Neurospora crassa OR74A: one gene and its partner. The protein of the gene in region 1 interacts with the protein of each later gene in a pairwise test. Links are inferred from orthologs where the notes say so. Each region holds a gene or a part of one and is shown on either strand. Other genes may lie near its edges.

What was found. The genes of interacting proteins can lie anywhere in the genome.
Region 2: the proteins of pex14 (region 1) and cse-1 interact in binary tests that used the Saccharomyces cerevisiae proteins (3 or more experiments, as listed by UniProt). The link is inferred for Neurospora crassa OR74A from reciprocal best matches to the Saccharomyces cerevisiae genes PEX14 and FRQ1.

What each region holds. Positions count from the first base shown.
Region 1 is NC_026506.1:2,097,639-2,107,183, reverse strand, and holds pex14 (peroxisomal membrane anchor protein), read right to left. Parts: upstream 7,715-9,545; 5' UTR 7,301-7,714; coding exon 7,261-7,300; intron 7,181-7,260; coding exon 6,855-7,180; intron 6,799-6,854; coding exon 6,061-6,798; 3' UTR 5,699-6,060; downstream 1-5,698. Other genes in the region: NCU03905 (hypothetical protein), read left to right, coding at 1-182, 250-568, 626-848; NCU03904 (hypothetical protein), read right to left, coding at 2,252-2,479; NCU03903 (lipase/esterase), read right to left, coding at 3,289-4,779; NCU03899 (HEC/Ndc80p family protein), read left to right, coding at 8,323-8,373, 8,477-9,545. UniProt on the Saccharomyces cerevisiae protein: Component of the PEX13-PEX14 docking complex, a translocon channel that specifically mediates the import of peroxisomal cargo proteins bound to PEX5 or PEX21 receptors.
Region 2 is NC_026504.1:3,559,964-3,570,050, forward strand, and holds cse-1 (neuronal calcium sensor 1), read right to left. Parts: upstream 5,158-10,087; 5' UTR 4,668-5,157; coding exon 4,657-4,667; intron 4,347-4,656; coding exon 4,261-4,346; intron 4,067-4,260; coding exon 3,771-4,066; intron 3,683-3,770; coding exon 3,503-3,682; 3' UTR 2,565-3,502; downstream 1-2,564. Other genes in the region: NCU04380 (acyl-CoA synthetase), read left to right, coding at 1-182, 244-1,379, 1,444-1,536; NCU04378 (DNA replication initiation factor Cdc45), read right to left, coding at 7,835-9,691, 9,744-10,087.

The DNA.
Region 1 (9,545 bases):
TGCGGGGGCCGGCACGTCAACGAGTTCCCCGTCCTCTTGCGCTTCGAACATGGGTGGCGCTAGTTCGTCGTGTGGCACCTCCCCAGAGCCTCTAACTCATTCGCCCGTCGGATTGAAGTCAGTAGATACGATGGCCACAATCGGAGAAGAGCAACCAGGCGTCATTGGTTCAGGGCAGCCAGGTAAGCATTCACCAGTCTTCAATGTTCGCTCTGATTGTATAGGCCAGAATTTACCAACACTTTCTAGACTTTAATACTTTTGGTGTTGACAACACTCTCAACTGGTTGCCTCAAGACAATTTCCAGTTTGATCCGCAGCTCTTCGGAGATTACCGAGAGCCTCAGAACAATGTCCTCAACAATGGATTTGACGATTGGTTGACCAATGATGCATTCGATGCGGATTTCCTGGCACCGTATAATCTGCCACCAACAGCTCCAGGGTTGCTGCCACCACAACCCGAAGCAGAATCACAACCACCGAAGAAGGATCTCATCGCTCAGATCGATGAGGTCAACGCATCGGATGATGGAGTCAGAGAGCAACTTGATTGCAGCAAGATCTGGTATGACCAAACCGAGAGAGGCCTCGAAAATGTGACTTTTATTAACATGTTCAACAGGGACAAATTGCGCAGTTGCTCCAGTGTACAAAACCAAGAGATTGATATGGACGCCTTGTGCTCCGATCTGCAGAAGAAAGCAAAGTGCTCTGGCTATGGTGCTGTGGTTGATGAGAAGGAGTTCAAGAGTGTTCTGAAAAAGCACCTAAGTCCTGAAGCAATGGCGAGGTGCGAGAAGGACTGTGAAGAGGAAAAGGCACGAAAAGCAGCTGCCACACTGTAGGAGTGGCTCGCTTACATGCTCATGACTGCATAGAGAAAGTTTTCTCTTGATTCAGAACGACGTCTTCACGAGTACACTTGTCTCGATTTCTCAGATGGCATCCCACGATGGATGGCATTTTCTTCTTCCTCGCAATACGGATTTTATTCGGATCTTAAAGTTGAACAAACCTTGGACGGTCTTGCGTCCATTGGCTCGTTTACAATCAAGCGTGGGAACACATCACGAATACTGGCTAGGAGTTTACAAGATACCAGAGCATTTACAGCGTTGGGAAAACGGGCTTCTAGGTCCTGGACGGGTCGAGAGCGGGGCCGGTTACCCTTTCCTTCTGGTAGCATGGGTCACTCGGTTGACGCACTCTATGAGAATACTCGTGCTGGTATGCGAATGGGCAGTCCATTGTTGGGTGTCATAAAACCACGGAGGTGCGCTTGGACTTCACAGTAACTAGCAGGATAGTGAGGGGATCCGGAGTTTTGTCGGCTTTTTGATCTATACCAAGGGTCGGTCTCGAATTAGACCACATGACTTTGAGTCAACGGGTTTAGGATTGCATACGGCTTTGAGCGGAATGGTATCTATCTTATTGTATCCCAATAAACCACTCTTTTACTTGCTCATGAAGCATGACATCAGTAGTTAAGCTAGAAATAATTAGTGTTCGGTTCATCATGTCGTGGTCCCGTGCTTTCGCCTGTCCCTTTTTTTTTTTTTTTAGAGATTCACGTTTCCCCTGGGCGTCACTTAGACACCATCCATAGTCTGCTCTTGACCTTCCTCCACCTCCACGCGAACTCACCCCATCATCACTGTAGCTATAACCATTTCCTGCGAAGTGGTGGTCTGCTGAGAGCTACTTCAAGATATGGCATGATTACATGTAAGCGACAATCTCGTGATCCCTGTAGACAAGCGAGGCTTTCAGGCTTCTTCATACTAGGAATGGGGGAGTTGTGAGGATATGAACTGATAGTTTCAGGCTTGGAAAGAGGCAATCACCGTTTTACGTAGGCATATCAGAACACGACAGTACACGCAATAATACATTAGTGATGGTCATTGGTGGTGGTCAAGGCCAAATTCAAACCATGCTACAGAGGGGAGCCTTTCGGACATCTGTTAACCTTCCCAAAACTATATCTTACAAGTTACCCTCCTTCTCCAATTCCTTCGGTCCCAGATCCTCTTCTTAATTTCCTACACCATCAGGTTCCAGAGTCTCTCGGAGCCATCCCACTTCCCTCCTGTTCCTTGGCGTTCACACATAAACCAGCAATCGGAGTTCCCCTCTCCCTGAGAGAATACACCCAAAGCCCAATGAAGTCGTCAAGCACAAGAGGTATCAAACAAGAACGGGCAGAGAGAACCCAATTCCCTTCAAGCCACCCTCGTCAGCTCGATCAAGCACCTCCGTCCCGCTTGGCATACTCCTCCTCCATCCTCTCCTCATAAAGCCGATCAGCTTCCAACTCAGCCTCGGTCTTGGGCCTGCTGCTGCCTGCTCCGGTGTTCACTCCAGCGCCGGTGGGCCTTTGGTGGGAGGAAGACTCATGCTCATGCTCCTTCTTGTCCTGAGCGGGCATGGAGGCGTTGGGGATGTTGGAGGTGGTGGTGTCGGAAGAAGACATCTTGGTGATGTGTTTTGGGGTTTGGAAGGGGTTGTTGTTAACTCAATCGACTCGAGTGTCAGAGGTGGAGATACTGCTTGAGCTTAATACAGTGATGATTTGGCCGGGTGGGGTGATTTAAAGTGGCTCCTGATTTGGTTGGAACTAATAAATAGACTCGAAGGAAATAGGCGCTTGTTGTGTGATGATGAAGATAGGAAGCGAATCAAATATACCCGTTGGGGAGAGTGTCAGGTCAAGAAAGACAACGGAAGGGCTGCCTCATGTGGCAAAGGTGGCGAGCATTGTGGCTACGCAACACCTGTATTGTACACGTCTTTTGGGGGTAATTGGGGTAACATCTCGCCGTATATACGACGGAACTTGTTCCTGCTTCTTCATGATTTGATGTCCGCTACAACTCGGCCGAACTCCATAGTCTCTAAGTCTCGACCCTTGGCATTTCCACTGGGTGCTTAGATAAGGTAGCAACGGGCTTTTTATGTTGATAGAACGTTACTTCAAGTGGAAGATGTTGATAGTGGGGTTCACCTGGAGATCCCGGTAAGTGATGAGTATACGACTAACACTTGCCCGCTTCGAGACATCTCGGAAGACGTTGGTCAGCATGTCTACAAGTGTATGAACAAAAAGGCGCAGAACAATTCATTCAGAACTATCATAAGGTAACATGCATACATGATCCATATGGTCAGCAAGATCCAAGCCCCTTTTATGTGTATAATGTCAACACCGATCGCCGACGCCCTAGTCACCCTGCTGAGCCTTATGCCCAAACAACCACACACGATAATTCACCAACCCGACATTCAAAGTTTTGCGAGATCTCCCTCTGAGGCCGGCACGCATTTTAACTCTATCCTCCTCCTCATCTTTTCTCTAATCTCCTCCTCCGTATAGGGGCTCAGCGTCATAGGATCCAGCTCCTTCTCCTCCAGCGTCCCCGACTTGATCGTGGTAAACGTGCTCCTCATCGCGCTCCGCTTATCATCAGCACCATCAAGCCCTCCCTCAGAGGCAGTCGAATTCGTGACCCTTGCGATAAACCTCGACCACCCCTCCATACACCTATCCGCCTCTTTCAAGTTCTTCAACACCATGGCAAAGCAATGCGGCATGCCCTCGTACTCCTCAAACGTCACAGAAACCCCTTCGGCATGAAACCTTGCTGCCGTGAACTTGTCCTCGTCCGACAGCATCTCCCAACCCGTGCAAATGTATGTCGGCGGCGCACCACGCCAGCTGGGTGCCAGCAAAAGCGACACAAGCGGGTGCATGATGTAATCGTCGGCGACGTACATGCTCATGCGCGGCGGATTCGTGGGCCAGGCCGAGCACGGGGCGCGCAACTTCTCGGCCTTGTCCTGCGCCTCGAGGCCAGGGAGGTAGTCGAAGGCACCGTTGGTGACACACGACGGCGAGCTGTGGGTGATTTCTATCCAGGGCGAGTTGACGGCGACGCCGGCGGGTAGGGGGATGGAGCGCTCATGGCCGAGCCAGAACACGGTGGTGCCGGAGCGTTGCAGTTGCATGATGAGCTGGAGAAGCGCGAGCGAGAGATTGCCGCCTGCGCTGTCGCCGGCGATGACGATGTGCTCTGGCTTCACGGGCTCGTGGAATGCCTCGGGCGGTGGGTAGAGCAGGCCGAGGTACGAGACTAGTGCGTCCATGACCGCGGCCGGGAACGGGTTCTGCGGCGCAAGCCGGTAACGCACCGAGTAACACCTGCCGCCGGTCCGCTTGGCTAGTTCTCTGCATGTAGGCCTGTGTGTGGCCGGGTCCATGAGCCAGTAGGCGCCGCCGTGAAAGTAGAGTATCGTGGTTGGGGCTTTTACGTCTTTCATCATCTCGTCATACTTCTCCCGTTCTGGGATATCGGGCAGCTTCGCATCTTTGGGCACACCCGGCCTGTGTGCTGTCCACTCCGCCTCCACAGGAAGAACTTCTGGTACTTGGATCCTGGCCGTCTTCGGTTGGTCACGGTCTTGAAGCCCGTCGATGGCCTTGCTCAAGGTGTCATGGATGGCGCGCGCATCCTCCTCCGTGGGGATGGGCAGAGTGTACTTGCTGACCCATATCGTGCCCCGGATCGGGGGTACTCTTGAGAGCATCTTTTGGGTAAAAGTGATGCTCCTAGGCTTGGGCACGTCCATGAACGAGCGGAGCATGGCAATAGTGAGTTCCGTCCGCAAATCCTGGTATTTTGACGCCGGTGAGGCCTGCAACATGTGAAGCAGAGCCACCCGGGCCATCAGCGGGAGCTTGGATACCAGCTGGAGAAAGAGAGCGGTCTTGTCCATGGCGGCGGGCTTCTTGGTGGGTTTAGAGGTGACGGATGGGTTTGGGTGTTGGGGTCATGGTATCAGATCAACAGGGGCGAGTTCTCTTCTTATATTAGACCCCGAGATCCATAATAACAATGGGGCATTTCGGGTATCTAGGGATTCCGTTTGTGTTGTAACAGCCTGTAGGCGCTCCTTGTCTAATCATCTTCTTGAGCGCGTCCGCGTGGAGATTGGGGAAGGCTTGCGAGCGCAGATATCTCAGCGAATCTGCGGGGTGGTAATATCATTTATCATTATATCCGGCAGGTGGTTAAGAAAAAGAGCGAGTTGTGAGAGCTAAGCGAAGAACAGCAATGCAGAAACAATACGTATCCAGAGCGACGGACTTGACTTGCATCCCCTTTGTGGCCAATATCCCCTTCGGGTTTGGGCGAGACGAAGGCGCTATGAGAACATTGGCACAGGAAGAAAGGGATGATGGGTGGGGTCAATGTTTGGTTCCAAGCAAGCATTGCCCGATCAAGTAATAGCTACGAGGACTATTAGATGCGATTGGAAACTGAACCATGGCACGAAGGTGTATGTACCTTGAACCCGGGATGTCTTAACAGAGAATATTCCGCATCCGACCTCTCGGGTACGCATATGCTACGCTGAGGTAATGATTTGGCAGCGACATCAATACCTACACTACAATGTATCCTTTAGTTCTCTACAGAGGCCGCGGTGTTCTGACTGTACCGATGTGGCTGAAAGTCCTGAATAGAGGGCGACATAACCAAAGCCAGTTGTCCCTCTTTGACCGTTTGCGCATCTCTATTCGATCATGGCTTTTTTTTTTTTTTGCCCCTCCCCTCCAGTTTTTTTGGGTGGCTGAGGACAATAACCAAAAATTTGTCTCGGCAATGCCATAGCAGCGGTCAAAATAGTGAGGCAGAAATACTGGGCGGTCAGGTGTACGGGATGTCTCAGATCAATTCACGGCCTAACCTTATAAGATGTGAAAATGGTAGCTTTTGATATCATGCTCTAGGAAAATGCCATGCAACGTCCGCGCTTAAAGACCTTGCAGAAATACAAACGCGCTATCATGGAAAGGGGACTGAATGAGGTTGTCCCATGCTTCACAAGTGCTCCTGTGTATTGTCCTGCTTGAACAACGTACAGGAGCTTTATTACTATACAGAAAACCAGAGGGAGTCGCTCACTTTGGCCTTATGCTCATGCCGATTAATGTATCCAGGTTTCCCAGTTCCGGTGCTATTTTATCTTTGTGCCTGACTGGAGAACAGCTTTTTAAGCGGCTTCGTCGCCTCCGTTGCTGCTTGAGCCATCGTTTGTAGTACCGTTCGTGACTCCGACAGTCGAAGCCGACGCGGTTTTGTTGGCCATGGCCAACTGCCAAGCAGGGATAGTCGGCTTGCCTGCAGAGGCAATTCCGCTGCTGAAAGGCGAAGGCTTGGGGGCAGCAGGTTGAGCGAACTGCTGTTCCTGCTGGTATCTGGATTGCTCATCCTGCGCACTCGCGGCTCTGCTGTTTAAGTCTCCGTTCTCACCGCCGAGGGCTGGCGTGGCAGGGGCTGAAGAAGGAGTGGCGTTTCCGTTAGTATTGGGGCGAAGGTAGTTGTTGACGCTCGTCGAGGTGGCGGTTGGGTTCATGCGTTGCGAGATGAGGGTCTTGAGGCTCTTGAGTTCGGTATTGAGTTCGCGCAGCCTGTTGTCGGTCAAGTCCTTCTGGTTGTTGAGTGCCCTTGGAATCGAGTCCCTGAGATTTTGCACATCGTCCCGTACTCTCTGTGCTTCGTCGTCTCTGCGTCTGTTGGCTGCCTTGAGGTCCCTGACGACAGTCTCCAGCTCCTCGAGGGCATTGTCGAGTCTCTCTGTCCTTTCCTGCTCCGAGGCCTTGAGGATTTCGGTATCCTTGGCCAGCTGCTCAACCAGTTGGAATGTTTTGTCGAATTGTTCGTCGATGGACTTCTTGTCCTGCTCGAGACGCTCCGGCGTGGGAGGAGCAATCAAAGGATACACATAGCGCTGCCGAACGGTTAGAATTTCCTTTTATGTACATTGCACGGTGTTCGGCGGCCTACCTTGCCGAGATTGTATAGGCCGTACGACGCGCCTCCGACTACGGTCGCCAAAATGAACAGGTCCCTCCAGTCCCGCCTGACACCGTCGGTATTCGATTGCGGCCATGCGTATGGGGGATAGCCATAGTACTGCGGAGAGCCACCCTGTGCTGCGACGGGTCCGGCCGACTGCGCATAGGCGGGCGACTGGGCGTACGGTGGCGGTGGACCTCCTGATTCGGCGCGGGCGAGAGCAGCGCTGACTTCTTCCTGGGTGAGGTTCTTTGCTTGGAGAAAGGCTATCCGCTTCTCGATTGGCGAGGCGGCGACACTGGGGTCTTGAAGAACTGTGGTGTTGTTGTCGGGTGAGATTCTGGCCTGGCAATGTAGAGGAGGTAGCAGGGGACAAGACAGGGGCAGAACATACACTGCGCCGCCGAAGCGACCAGGTCCTCGCGGATGGCCATGACTGATGTTGTTTGATCGAAATGCGGCAGATGGCGTTCCCTTGTTGAGACTGGGCAGACGAGAGGAAAGAAGCAGACAGCTGAAACAGTCGCGACGCGATGGCAGACGGCGGCGGTTGATGGAATGATTATCGAAGGACGGGAGGCTGAATGCGATAGATGAAGTGGAAACGAACTGACTGGCAGCGGTTCGGGGGATGGCTGGGCCGCTGGATGGAGTCCTGAAGCCGAGGTTCACGGGACCGGGGGCCTGATTGTACACTAGACGTGGACTGCTAATAGCACCTTAACAGCTTCGCATCACTTGCACCCCCAGCACACTCGTGGAGGCATGCTGATCAGATAAATCACTATCTCCTCCCCTGACTCTCCTTTTCCTCCGACAGGCCTAGAGCGCAGCTGAGCATCCATTCCATGCAGTGACTGGCTCAGAGACGGGAGTGCAGAGCTGAAAAAGCACTGACCTGAAGCGAGCCAACACTCACCCTCAAGGTCGCTTTTGGACCCACTCCCGTCATTCACCTGCCGTCCCGATGCTTGGGGACGAGAACTGGAGTGCACTTGGCACTGTTCAGCCCAATGATTTCCACAGCCCCACCCACGTCGCCTTTCTTTTGTTTACTCTTCCTGACGGAGCAACCTCCCCCACCATCCGCAGAAGTCGACAACCTAGTCCCGTCTACACTACGGTGTCTTAATCTACCTACATACCTATGCTGGCCTGCATTAGGTTGCTGGCCGTACACGTACTTTTATCGCTACGACACGACGAAATCCGCGACTGCGGTTATGCATTGATTTCTGTCAGAGCCGCGAACACGTACCCACATTAACTCGAGCGCATACCTTAGCTCTACAAAGCTATCCGACATAATCACCACCAAGAGAATCATCGCCGACATCGATCCGACACAGTTGCACGTAGTGTAACACTCTTTTGTTCGCTTGCTTATATATTATCACGGAAACCACGCGACTAGGACGGCAAAAGGGAGGCGCACATTGACGAGGCCTTTGCCGTCATGTCGCAAGACAGCAACGCAGGCCTTTGGAGTGTTCGACGGCCAAGGGAGGTGCGACTTCCCCCCGTGACTTTCTTTGCGGCGTGTTTCCTCGGTCGAAACCTCTCCCCATCCGACGCGACCATGCACGATATTGACTCTGCTCTCTCTGTAGACTCTCCATGGCGTCAACCTCACGTCGGGCATTCCGGCACCACCCTCCACACTTAAGCGACAAAGCACCATCGGCACAATAGGAACGGGCCATGGTCGCTCTCTGTCGGGGAGGCAATCTCTGGCCCTCCCGCGACCGAGCCAACCTCTGTTCCAGCGATCCTCCGACATTGGCCTGGGCTCGGTAAAGCGCGCGTCGGTTCATAACATGAACACGTCGCAGTTCAAGCCCTATGGCACCCCAGGCAGTTCCGGTATTCCTCGATCATCGCAAGAACTCGACCGGCGAAGCAGCGTCTACCGCCCAAGCGCACGACCGTCGGCCGTCGGCGGAGGTCCCTTAGCTGGTGGGCATATGAGCTTCTTCCAGCAAGCGCCCCAGCCCGCCGGCGTGCCTCGCGATCCGCGCCCCCTCAAAGACCGTCAATTCCAAAATCGCATTGGCCAGGAGTTGCTCGAGTACCTCGCCAAGAACAATTTCGAGATGGAGATGAACCACAAGCTGTCCGACAACTTCACAAAGTCGCCGACACAGAAGGACTTCAACTACTTGTTTCAATGGCTTTACCACAGGATAGACCCGAGTTACCGGTTTCAGAAGAATATCGACCAGGAGGTACCACCATTACTCAAACAACTGCGATACCCATACGAGAAGAGCATCACCAAGAGCCAAATCGCCGCGGTCGGAGGTCAGAATTGGAGCACCTTCTTGGGATTACTGCACTGGATGATGCAGTTGGCACAGATGCTCGAAGGATACGCCCGACACCAGTACGACGACGCCTGTATGGAAGCCGGGGTCGACATTGCGGGCGACCAGATCATCTTTGATTTCCTCACCAGCGCATACCAGGATTGGCTCAATATGGATGACGAAGCAGGGGATGAAGACGTGGAGAGGGCACTACAGCCGCATGTGCAGGGAATGGCGGAGGCTTTTGAACGGTCAAACGCAAAGTACATCCAAGAACTGGAGATTCTCGAAGGGGAAAACGCCCGCCTGCTAAAGGAGATTCAGGAGCTCGAAAAGTCGACACCCGACCCGGCCATCTTGGACAACCACTTTA
Region 2 (10,087 bases), on another chromosome or scaffold:
CCTCAGGAACGAGCGCGGTGTTACTGTCTTGAGCTTCGACGAGCTTGTCCAGCTCGGCAAGCAGAACCCCGTCGCGCCCGTCGCGCCCGCCCCTGAGGATCTCTGCTGCATCATGTACACCTCCGGTTCTACCGGTACCCCCAAGGGTGTCCCCCTGAAGCACAGCAACGTCGTCGCTGCCGGTAAGTGGCCGCAAACTCTTATTGTCTTGTTCCTGAACTGCTACTAACGTCCTTGTCACAGTCGCTGGTGTCTGCCCCGTAGTCCAGCCCTTCGTTGGCCCCGGTGACCGCCTCCTGACCTACCTTCCCCTCGCTCACATTCTCGAATTTGTTTTCGAGAACGCCTCCCTCTACTGGGGTTCAACCATGGGTTATGGTAACCCCAAGACCCTCTCCGACACCTCCGTCCGCAACTGCCTCGGCGATATCCGCGAGTTTCAACCCAGCGTTTTGGTTGGTGTGCCCGCCGTCTGGGAAACCGTCAAAAAGGGCATTCTCGCCAAGGTCAACGCTGGCAGCCCTCTCCTCCGCAACCTTTTCTGGGGCGCACTTGCTCTCAAGGAGAAGCTTATGGGCCTTGGTCTTCCTGGAAGCGGTCTTTTGGACGCCATTGTGTTCAAGAAGATCAAGGATGCCACTGGCGGTCGCATGAAGCTTTGCTTGAACGGTGGTGGCCCTGTCGCCAAGGATACCCAAAAGTTCATCTCCATGGCCATCTGCCCCATGATTATCGGCTATGGTCTTACCGAGACGACCGCTATGGGTACCCTCCAGAACCCCAACGAGTGGACTGCTGAGTCAATTGGCGCCATGCCCGCCTCGATCGAGGCCAAGCTCGTCGATTTCGCCGACGCCGGTTACTTCGCCACTAACAAGCCCAACCCCCAGGGTGAAATCTGGCTCCGTGGCCCCTCTGTGCTCTCCGAATACTATGAGAACCCCGAGGAGACCGCTGCCGCTGTGACCGCGGACGGCTGGTTCAAGACCGGCGACATTGGCGAGTGGGACCAGAACGGCCATCTCAAGATCATTGACCGCAAGAAGAACCTCGTCAAGACTCTCAACGGCGAGTACATTGCTCTTGAGAAGCTTGAGTCCATCTACCGCTCCGCCGCCGTCGTCGCCAATATTTGCGTCTATGCCGACCAGGATCGTTCCAAGCCCATCGCCATCATCGTTCCCGCGGAACCCGCCCTTAAGAAGCTCGCCTCCTCGAGTGGTGTGAAGGGTGACAGCTTGGAGGAGCTCGTACACAACAAGAAGCTCCAGGCTGCCGTTCTCAAGGAGCTCCAGAACGCCGGTCGTGCCGGCGGCCTTTCTGGCATTGAGATTATCGAGGGTGTCGTTATGTCGGATGAGGAGTGGACCCCCCAGAACGTGAGTTTTCCACTGTCTACATCTATTTGTTTACCTAACCCATCGCTAACCAAATCAATCACAGGGTCTTGTAACGGCCGCCCAGAAGCTCAACCGCAAGGGCATCCTCAACAAGTACAAGAAGGAGGTTGATGAGGCTTATGGCCCCAAGCAGTAGGAGTTTTGTTGCCACCTACCTGATCTCTCTTGTTGTATATGAAAAAGTACACCCTTGTTTTTGCTGTTCATCTCTATGTCTATGCGTGTCTCGGGGCGCGAATTATGTTTCCACTATACCACTCCTAGTTATTTATGTTACGTTACGTTACTGTTGTCGGCGACGGCCACCGGAAAGGGTTCCTCAGGCCCCTTAGCTATATGTCTGTTATGCCGTAATGGGTTTCTACTTCCTGTTAAATAAGCGACGAACAATTGCGTTGAGATAGTTTTGCCATGTACTTGTGCTACACTACCCTTTTTCTAATTCTTCTAGGGTCCTGGTTTGCGCTGTTTTGCTTGATGAATTTCCTCTCTGGTCTTCCGTCAACAGGAGGATCAGCTCTCTTCTTATTCTCTTCGCTTCCACTCCTTTGTCGGGTTCAAGTTGGGGAAGGGGTTTTAATTGGGGCTCGTTTAATACGAAACGGACGGGCGAGTATCTATCGATGATACCCCATTTTAGTAGCATTTGCTTCTCACGCTGCTTATTGTTGATCGTACACACTGTTATGTTCACCTACGTGGCAAAAGGACACGACGGACCAATTCCCAGTAACGTCTCTTTTGCTTGAGGCAGAATTATATTACCGCTGACACATCCATCCCCTTACACAGACTATATAGAATATAGTCTCGAATATTTCCAAGTGACACCCGTATAAGGTTTGAAGGTGACGGAGTGAGATGTTGAGAGAGATGAAGAACTGCATCAGGAAAGACTAAGAGATAGGTAGGTCAAATGAAGACATAGACGACCATGAATGGGGTAAGCAGAGAAATCATTGCATCACGCATTTGAACGAAAACGGGGGGGGCTTGAATATAGAAAAAGAAAATAACAAAATACGAAAAAAAAAAAATTTAAAAAAATTTACTGTCATTGATATTATATCCCAGAACGGGTTGATCTTGGCGAGCAAGATGACGATGATGTCACTTGTTGGAGTGTTGGCGGTGTTGACTTACAACTAATAGTAATAAAAGATAACCTCCGTTCATGACAAACCTGGCGGTAGGGGAGAGTACGCGGGAATTAGAGAAAGATTACAGTCAACAGCCCGGTTATCACATCATGAAGGGCTCGAAACGGATGAAACATTGAAAAAAAATTGCTAAACCCTCAAAAGAAAAAAAAAAAACCAAGCCTAAAAGTATCCACACACACGACGCGTAAGAGGTAACTTCTGAGTCAAGGTCGTCCATTGTTGCAATTGACCAAGCCGTAGTAGTGTATTCGTTCGTTCCATACCAGCCAGGTAACGCCGTTCATCACGATTTCCTTCTCTTCTTCTTCCTCCTTATTCCGTCTCTATCCCCTCTCACTCCGACTTCCCTTTATGTGCTCTCATGTCCTTCCCCTCTCCCTTCCATCCAATCCGTGTGATCACCAGGTCTGAAATCTCCTCTTTCAAGACCTAAGCCAAGAACAGCACAGCCCCAAAGACCATCACATCCCGGTCGACATCTAGACTAAGAACTGGGCCGAATGGGTGGTACCTAGCGGCGAGGCTCATTTCCGACCACGGAACCATAGATGAGACGCCCCAACAGCATGTGGCCAGCTGTGCTTTCTTCTTATCTTGTCTGATCGATGTATGCGCGCACACTTATCGAGCTGGGCCGAGCCGAGATGGCTGAACCCTCTCTCTTCCCTTCTTTCTCGCAACCATTCCCCTTGTCCATCACGCTTTCCCTGGGATATCTTGCTTCCAAATGAACAACTGATTTCTCTCTTTCTTTTCCACCCTTTATAACTCCAGCTCTGCCTTGTTTCGGGGAGATGAAACTTTGCCTGTTGGCGCTGCAACACACATCAAATCATGCTCCTCCTCTTGGTAAAATTTGCTTCGCCAGACCGTTGCGCGCCGTCCCCCCCTTTGGCTAAACGAAATACCTCGAATGATAATTGATGAAAAGAAACTTGGTTAGACGAGGCCATCGTACAAGGAGAGGGCGGATACGATTGTCTCGTCGCGCTGGCTGCCCTCCTTGAATTCCTTCATGTCGAGGCTGCCGTTTTCGTCCTTGTCCATCATGCGGAAGATCTTGCTGACGCGCTTCTCGGGAGTATCTTCGTCTTCGGGGAGCTTGACCATTGAGCCGACCTGTTTTGAGGGATCAGAATGTTAACGTACAAGATTGCGACGACACGGGAAAGGGCGTAGAGAGATAAGAAAGAAAGGGTAAACCCACCATCTTGTAGATAGCCTCAACGATCTTGAGCATCTCGTCGTAGGTGATCTTGCCATCGCCGTCAATGTCGTACAATTGGAAGGCCCAGTCGAGCTTGTCCTCCATCTTGCCGCGGCTCGTGACGCTCAAGGCGCAGATAAACTCCTTGAAGTCGATGGTGCCAGACTTGTCCGTGTCGAATACGTTAAATACGTAGTCGGCGAATGACGATGGGTCGCCAAAGGGGAAGAACTGTGCGTAGATCTTCTGGAACTCGGCCTTGGTGAGCATGCCGGAGGGGCAATCCTTGAGGAAGCCTGTTTGTGAATGAACTTGTTAGAGGCCGTCTATGAAGCGAAAGATTTGGTTGGCAACGAGGGCGCATAGCAAGCGCTTTCGATGGGGAGACAGCGCCGCATCGGTCAGGGCATGTAATCGTTGGCGGCGACGGCGGCGGTGTTCAAAGGGGTCGTCGGCGATAGGAGAAAGGGGACGGGGATAGGTAACACACCCTTATACCATTGCTGCAACTCCTTCTTGTCAAAGTGGGTGGCCTTTTCCAACTCCTCCAGCTTATCACGCTCGAGCTTGCTCTGCCTGTGTCGGGCGGGGTTCAGTGTCAGCCTCTTCATCTTGCTTTCAGTTTTGGGAGATTGCGCAGAGAAACGACTCCTGCTAAAGAGGCCCATTGTATGATATGTAGAATTGAGTGAAGGACGGGGTAGGTCGACGGTAGAGGAGACTTCAGCAAAACGGATCACGGTCCCTCCTCCACTGCTGAGAAACAGGTGTGCGGTGCGTATTGATGATGATGATGATGATGATGATGGGATGCGGAGAAAGCGGTCGGGTGGTGGGTGCTGATCGGGCAAGAGTCGCGGAGATTTCGGGGGACTTGGTCACTCACGATTTGCCCATTTTCGGATAACTCGGTACTATTTAGCAAATGCTGATGTCGTTCGCAAGGTGGTCCCACGATGCGGCGGTTCGAGGGAAAGGGGTCACTCGGAATGGCGTCGCGTACGGGGTTGGCGCCGAAAGGTCGGAGGAGGGGTTCGGTGACGATCCGTGGGTTTTCTCTCAGGGATACCGTTAACGTTTGTAATTGACTTGGTCGTAGGTAACGAGACGCTGTGTGAAGGGCAAGACGGTGCTCGAGCGATGGGAGCAAGCAGCCTTGTATGGTGGATTTATATTGTCGTCGGCCGATAGGATAGTTCAAGTAGCAGACTCGGTAAGCGGCAATCAGTGAGTGGCCTTGGGGTTGCACCGAAGAGTGAAGAGAAGTAGATAGGAAAAGATGTCGAGGTGTTGGGTTGTAATGGCAAAAAGAAAAAGAAATGGGATCGATGGATGAGCAGGTCTAGAGAGGTATTGGCAGCACAGGAGTGTCAGGGTGCAAGGCGAGAGGCAGGGCAAAATGCGCGGGAGATCGGAGGTGATGACGGCGGCAGTCTGGCGAGATGGGCGACCTTTGATGCAGTGCCCTGGAGCTGCTGCACTAACTGCAGCTAACCACTGTAAGTGCCCTGGCCGTTATTAAAATGTGGAACTAGGGTGACTAGCAGGGGACCATATGTTAGCCAGGAGGTAAGGAACACCCGACCGCTCGAACCTGACGGGAACCTGATCCGCCCGCTCGTTTCGTGCGGCGCCTCACTTCCAGGTTCGACTCCCTCCCATCCATCGATTTGACGCCGGGCCTGGCATGGAGAGGCCAGGCTGTTTCTGACTCGAGTCATCGTCTTTTGCTTGAGAAAGCTGCCTTGTACCTGCTCATGCTGCTGTGGTACACTACTGCCGACGCAGCATCATTTCCATCGATGCGGACTTTTTTCCGAACATTCAGCTTGTTCTCCAGCATGTGTGTTTCAGACTTTACGTGGGGCCCTCACTCCCCTCTCCCAAGGAACTCGGTTGATATTCGCATCCATTTGCAAAGAGGGGCAACGGGCGGGATTTCTAATAACTGGGACAGGGGCTGCACGGCCAAGGAACAAATTCGATCGGGTTCTGGACGTTTGGGTGTAGGTAGGCAGCGCATGCGCCAGCTATCATGCCAGGTTGGCTGGAAAAACTGCTGCTCTCTGATTTGTCGGGCAGGGAGCCCAAGTGACAAGAAGGGCAGGTCTCGAGAGCCCGCGCCGGAGGATGGGAGCGCTGGGAGGTAAACGGAGGCCACCATTCAACCAAACCAACATCAATCGGCAGCCCAGATCCGTACGATGAAGAGATAGGATTGGGGAGGCGACTTCGGAAAAGACACTTTCTGGCAAGATATACTTCAGAGTGATTCTAGCGCCGCCATCCGAACAACATGTACTTCCTCCAGGACTAAACTTTCGAGCCGGAGCCCGGAGGAGTACTTACTACCCATGCCCGGCGGCCGGCTCATCTCACTTTTTGGGGTGACAGTGGAAGTAAATGATATACAAGTAGTTTGCGCTCGATGTCAAACAGCAAACCTCTTGACACCGAATTGCGCAAATTCGACCGCGTTAATGTTCTGTCCATTATATTTAAGCACCATATGTAACCGACGGGCCTGGTACCAACAATTCTCCTTGGTACCATTCTTGAGGCTCTGTCTGCGACACCCAATCATCCTTCGCTTCGAGGAGGCCCAAAGCCCAAAATGAGAAGTCGTTCGCCCCACTTCGTCATAAACGGTCGACCACTTGAATACCTACCAACTTTAATAACACCAAAGATGTAAGGAAGTCTATTGTCGAACATGATTAAAGGTCATTGACATTCTCTCTTCCAAACCCCTCCACCTGATCGGACCTCCACGGCGGTCTGAGAAAAACAGGTTGTTCTTCAGCTCCTTTGCACCTTTGCGACTTTCCTACTTGGAAGATAGTGCCGGGACTGACGTAGTAAGGAAAGGAGGCAGTGCAAAGCCCGCCAAGACATTGACTGGCTCGTACCGATCCAAACAAATCCACTTGAATCTGTCCTCTCTCCTCAGAAGAGACGGGATCTTCCTTCTTGTGGTATGTACAATGGGGTATGTAGGCAGACGATTCCGGTCTAAGGAGAAGGGAGAAAACTCTGGTGTAACAAAAAGGCCTTCTGGAAGATCGTGAGAAAAAGAGGGAAAAGATAACCGATGACGAAAGGACTACTACTATGTAACAAACTCCGATATAACTCCACTTTTTCTGTTTCAACACCACAAGCTTCACTATGTATACTAGTACCTACCTACATACCTCTACCGGCTGTCAATAAACGACGTCAATCTCTATGCCAACAATACTGAAACCCTTTAGTCATTTACAAAACATTTGAACCAAAACCAGCATTGATTGCTACATATAAACATCACCGCTCCATCACTATCTGGAGGTAGCCAAGTGGTCGACCAGACTACCATAGTTTAGTGTCCCTGAAGCCTCAAAGGCTCAAAGGGGGCAGTGCCATCGTTGCCTGTTTGGTGGAATGCTGTGTATGTGAGGCGAGAGACTCATAGTATGAGCCTAGCAGAGGCGAAGAGAGCACAGAGGAAGAAAGAGAAACCGGGCCGAGTTTACCATTATCTTGGAGTTACGAGGTTCATTTTGCGGTCGGCACATCTGTCCACAAGTATGTCCAAAATGAAAAGCAGAAAGAAAACACATAAGAAACAAACCGATTTTGGAGAGTAGCTGAGATTTGGTATTTCGCCCACTGCATGTTATGTAAATGAATATACCGTATGACTACAGCGGTATAAGAGAAAAATATAAAATAAAAAAAAATGAAAGGGCGTTCCAGCTGTTGCTTAAGCCCCATCTGCTTGGACGAGCATTTTCCATTTATGCATGCACATTGCTGAAGGTAGCTCAATCATTCGAGCCTCAATACTATAAGTGCCTACATTGCATGTACGTAGCTCGGCGTGCAGCTCAATCGTCCGAGCCTCAATGCGATGCCATGCCATTCCAGCTCTCAAATGAGTTGTTCTGGCTCTTCCGACCGTTCTGTTGGACACAGGTATGAACTCTTGCCACTCCCCCTGGTCAAGTAAACAAACCCCCTTTGACGCCCCCCCATGGTTTTTTTTTTTCCCCAGAATTAGCAAACCCAAACTTTTCCTTCCTTCACCCAATGACGACTTTCATGCTGAGACTTTCCAAGAAGCCACTAAGATCCTCCTTCTTGACCTCCACGACGCAGTGCTCAAAGCTGTCGATGCGCACTCTGGCATTAGTCTCCGCCACCACGTCTTGGAACGCTGTTCCGAATTTGTTGAGGCCGTAGCCCCTTTCAAGTTCCTGATCGAGCTCGTCCTCGTCTTCGTCCGACTCATCATCGTCGTCCGAGTCCGTATCAGAGAGATCCGAGTCGTCGTCACTATCTTCCTCGTTGTCCTCCTCCTCGTCCTCATCGCCGCCGGCGTCGGACTTGGCTTTCTTTTTCTCTTCTTTTTCCTTTCTCTTGGCCTCCTTCTTCTCGGCCTTGATCTTTTCCTTGATCCTTCTCTGCATCTCCTTGGCTTTAGCTTTGGCCTCTTTTTCTTCGGCTCGCTTCTTGGCCGATTCACGATCGAGAAACTTTGTGTCTGGCCCACCGCCGCCACCAGTACCGACGACAACATACACTCCGCGCTTGTCATCTAGACTAGCCACTACGAGAGGTGTGCCACGACCGCCATGGGCGAGCCTCCCGCCAGTGGCTTCTTTTTCCTGTTCCGCGAGTGCTTCACCGATCCAGAGCGCTAGCTTGGTCAAAGCGCCGGGGTGGTTGAAGAGTGTCGCATCTGGTGAGTCCTTGACCACGCACATGCGAAATGCGCGCAGATGAGATATTTGTTTCTTCTTCAAAATTGTCGTGCCAGTGGTGAAGATGGCCTTGTGTAGATACTGCGCCGTGGGAAGGCCAGCCTTAAGGGCCTCGATGTCCTCCAGCGCATCATACGCCTCCCAGAACCTGGGGATCCACTCCTCACTTTGGCTCTGGTTGTTGTCTACGTCGAGAAGATCCTGAGATGGGCCAGCAGGAAGGTCATCAGCACTAGTGGTGTTCTTCCCCACTTCCAACAGGGCTCCGACTACGACACCGACATCTTGCGCACTCAGGGTTGCCCTCCAACCCCAACTGCGTACAAAGCCCCATCCATCTTTGGCACCTCCACGATCTTTCCCGTCCGTGTCTATGGTCGGGACAAGTTCGTCGAGGTTGTAGAGAGACGCGTATTTTAGTAGTTTGGTGCGAAGTTCGCGCTTCAACATCATGTCCATGTGGGCATAACTCTGCTTGCACTGCACCAGACTGACACCCATCTTGGCGAGAAGCTTGTGTAATCGCTTCATGCCAGCCTCGCTCCACGTCTTTAGCCGAGAGAAGAGGTAGGGTGAGTGAAGCATGCTGTCGTATAAACTCCAGTGCCTAATAAGCAGGAACTTGGGCTCCGGCGACAACCTGATACTGGTATCCTCCGGACTTCGAGCGGTTGTTGGGATAATTCCTGTCGTCTCGGGGAGCACCCGGCCGTTTCCTATCTCTGGTGGGTTGAGACGTCTGACCTCGTCTCGCAGAAGCTGCCGTATTCTCGCACCACGCATGCCGAGCCAACCGGAAATGCGGGCGTCTGACCTGCGAGCTGCTACCGCAATACCGGCAGATGAGCGGCCGTACAGCTCCATCGACGTGACCCCAACGATCGCTAACCATAGCAGGTCGTTGTCTTCACGACCCAGTTCTGACGCAAGGGAGTACATCATGGACGAGATGGGCTCCGAATATGATGTACCCAGTCGGTAGTACTCGCGCAAAACTCCCTCGTTTTCTCGTCGTAGTCGTAGCAATCTCCGTCGGAGGGTGTTGGCTGAAGGGCCTCTGGGTGGTTGTGCAGCAGGCGGAGCTTCCAGCGCGTCACTGGAAAATAGGGCATCGTCGCGTAGAGATATGAGACCACGGTGTTGCGGTCGTCGAGGCGAATCTGGAATTGGACTCGACTGTATCTGGCATGAGAGATGTATTACTATGAAGAAATCGGAATGTACTCACCGAATTGCTTCTTCGTCGCTGTCTGGGTCGGTCGTCTTCATCATCGTCCTCGTCGAAGTCCGACCATGATTTCCTCTTTCTGCCTGCAACAACCGATGTATCGCCCGTGTCTTCCTCGTTCTCGCTTTCGTCTTCATCACTGTCGCCCAAGTCTCGGCCATCATCTTCGATTTCGGGCATATCCACTAGCGCCAGATACGCATCTCGTTCCTTGGAGAGCTCATCTTCAATGTCGCCGTCATCCATGACAATGATGCCGCCTTTGCCTGGTTTGTATGCTCGCTCTATCCGGCCGCCATTGACACCAATGGGGGTTCGCGCAGAGAATGTCCTGGCCTCTTGCG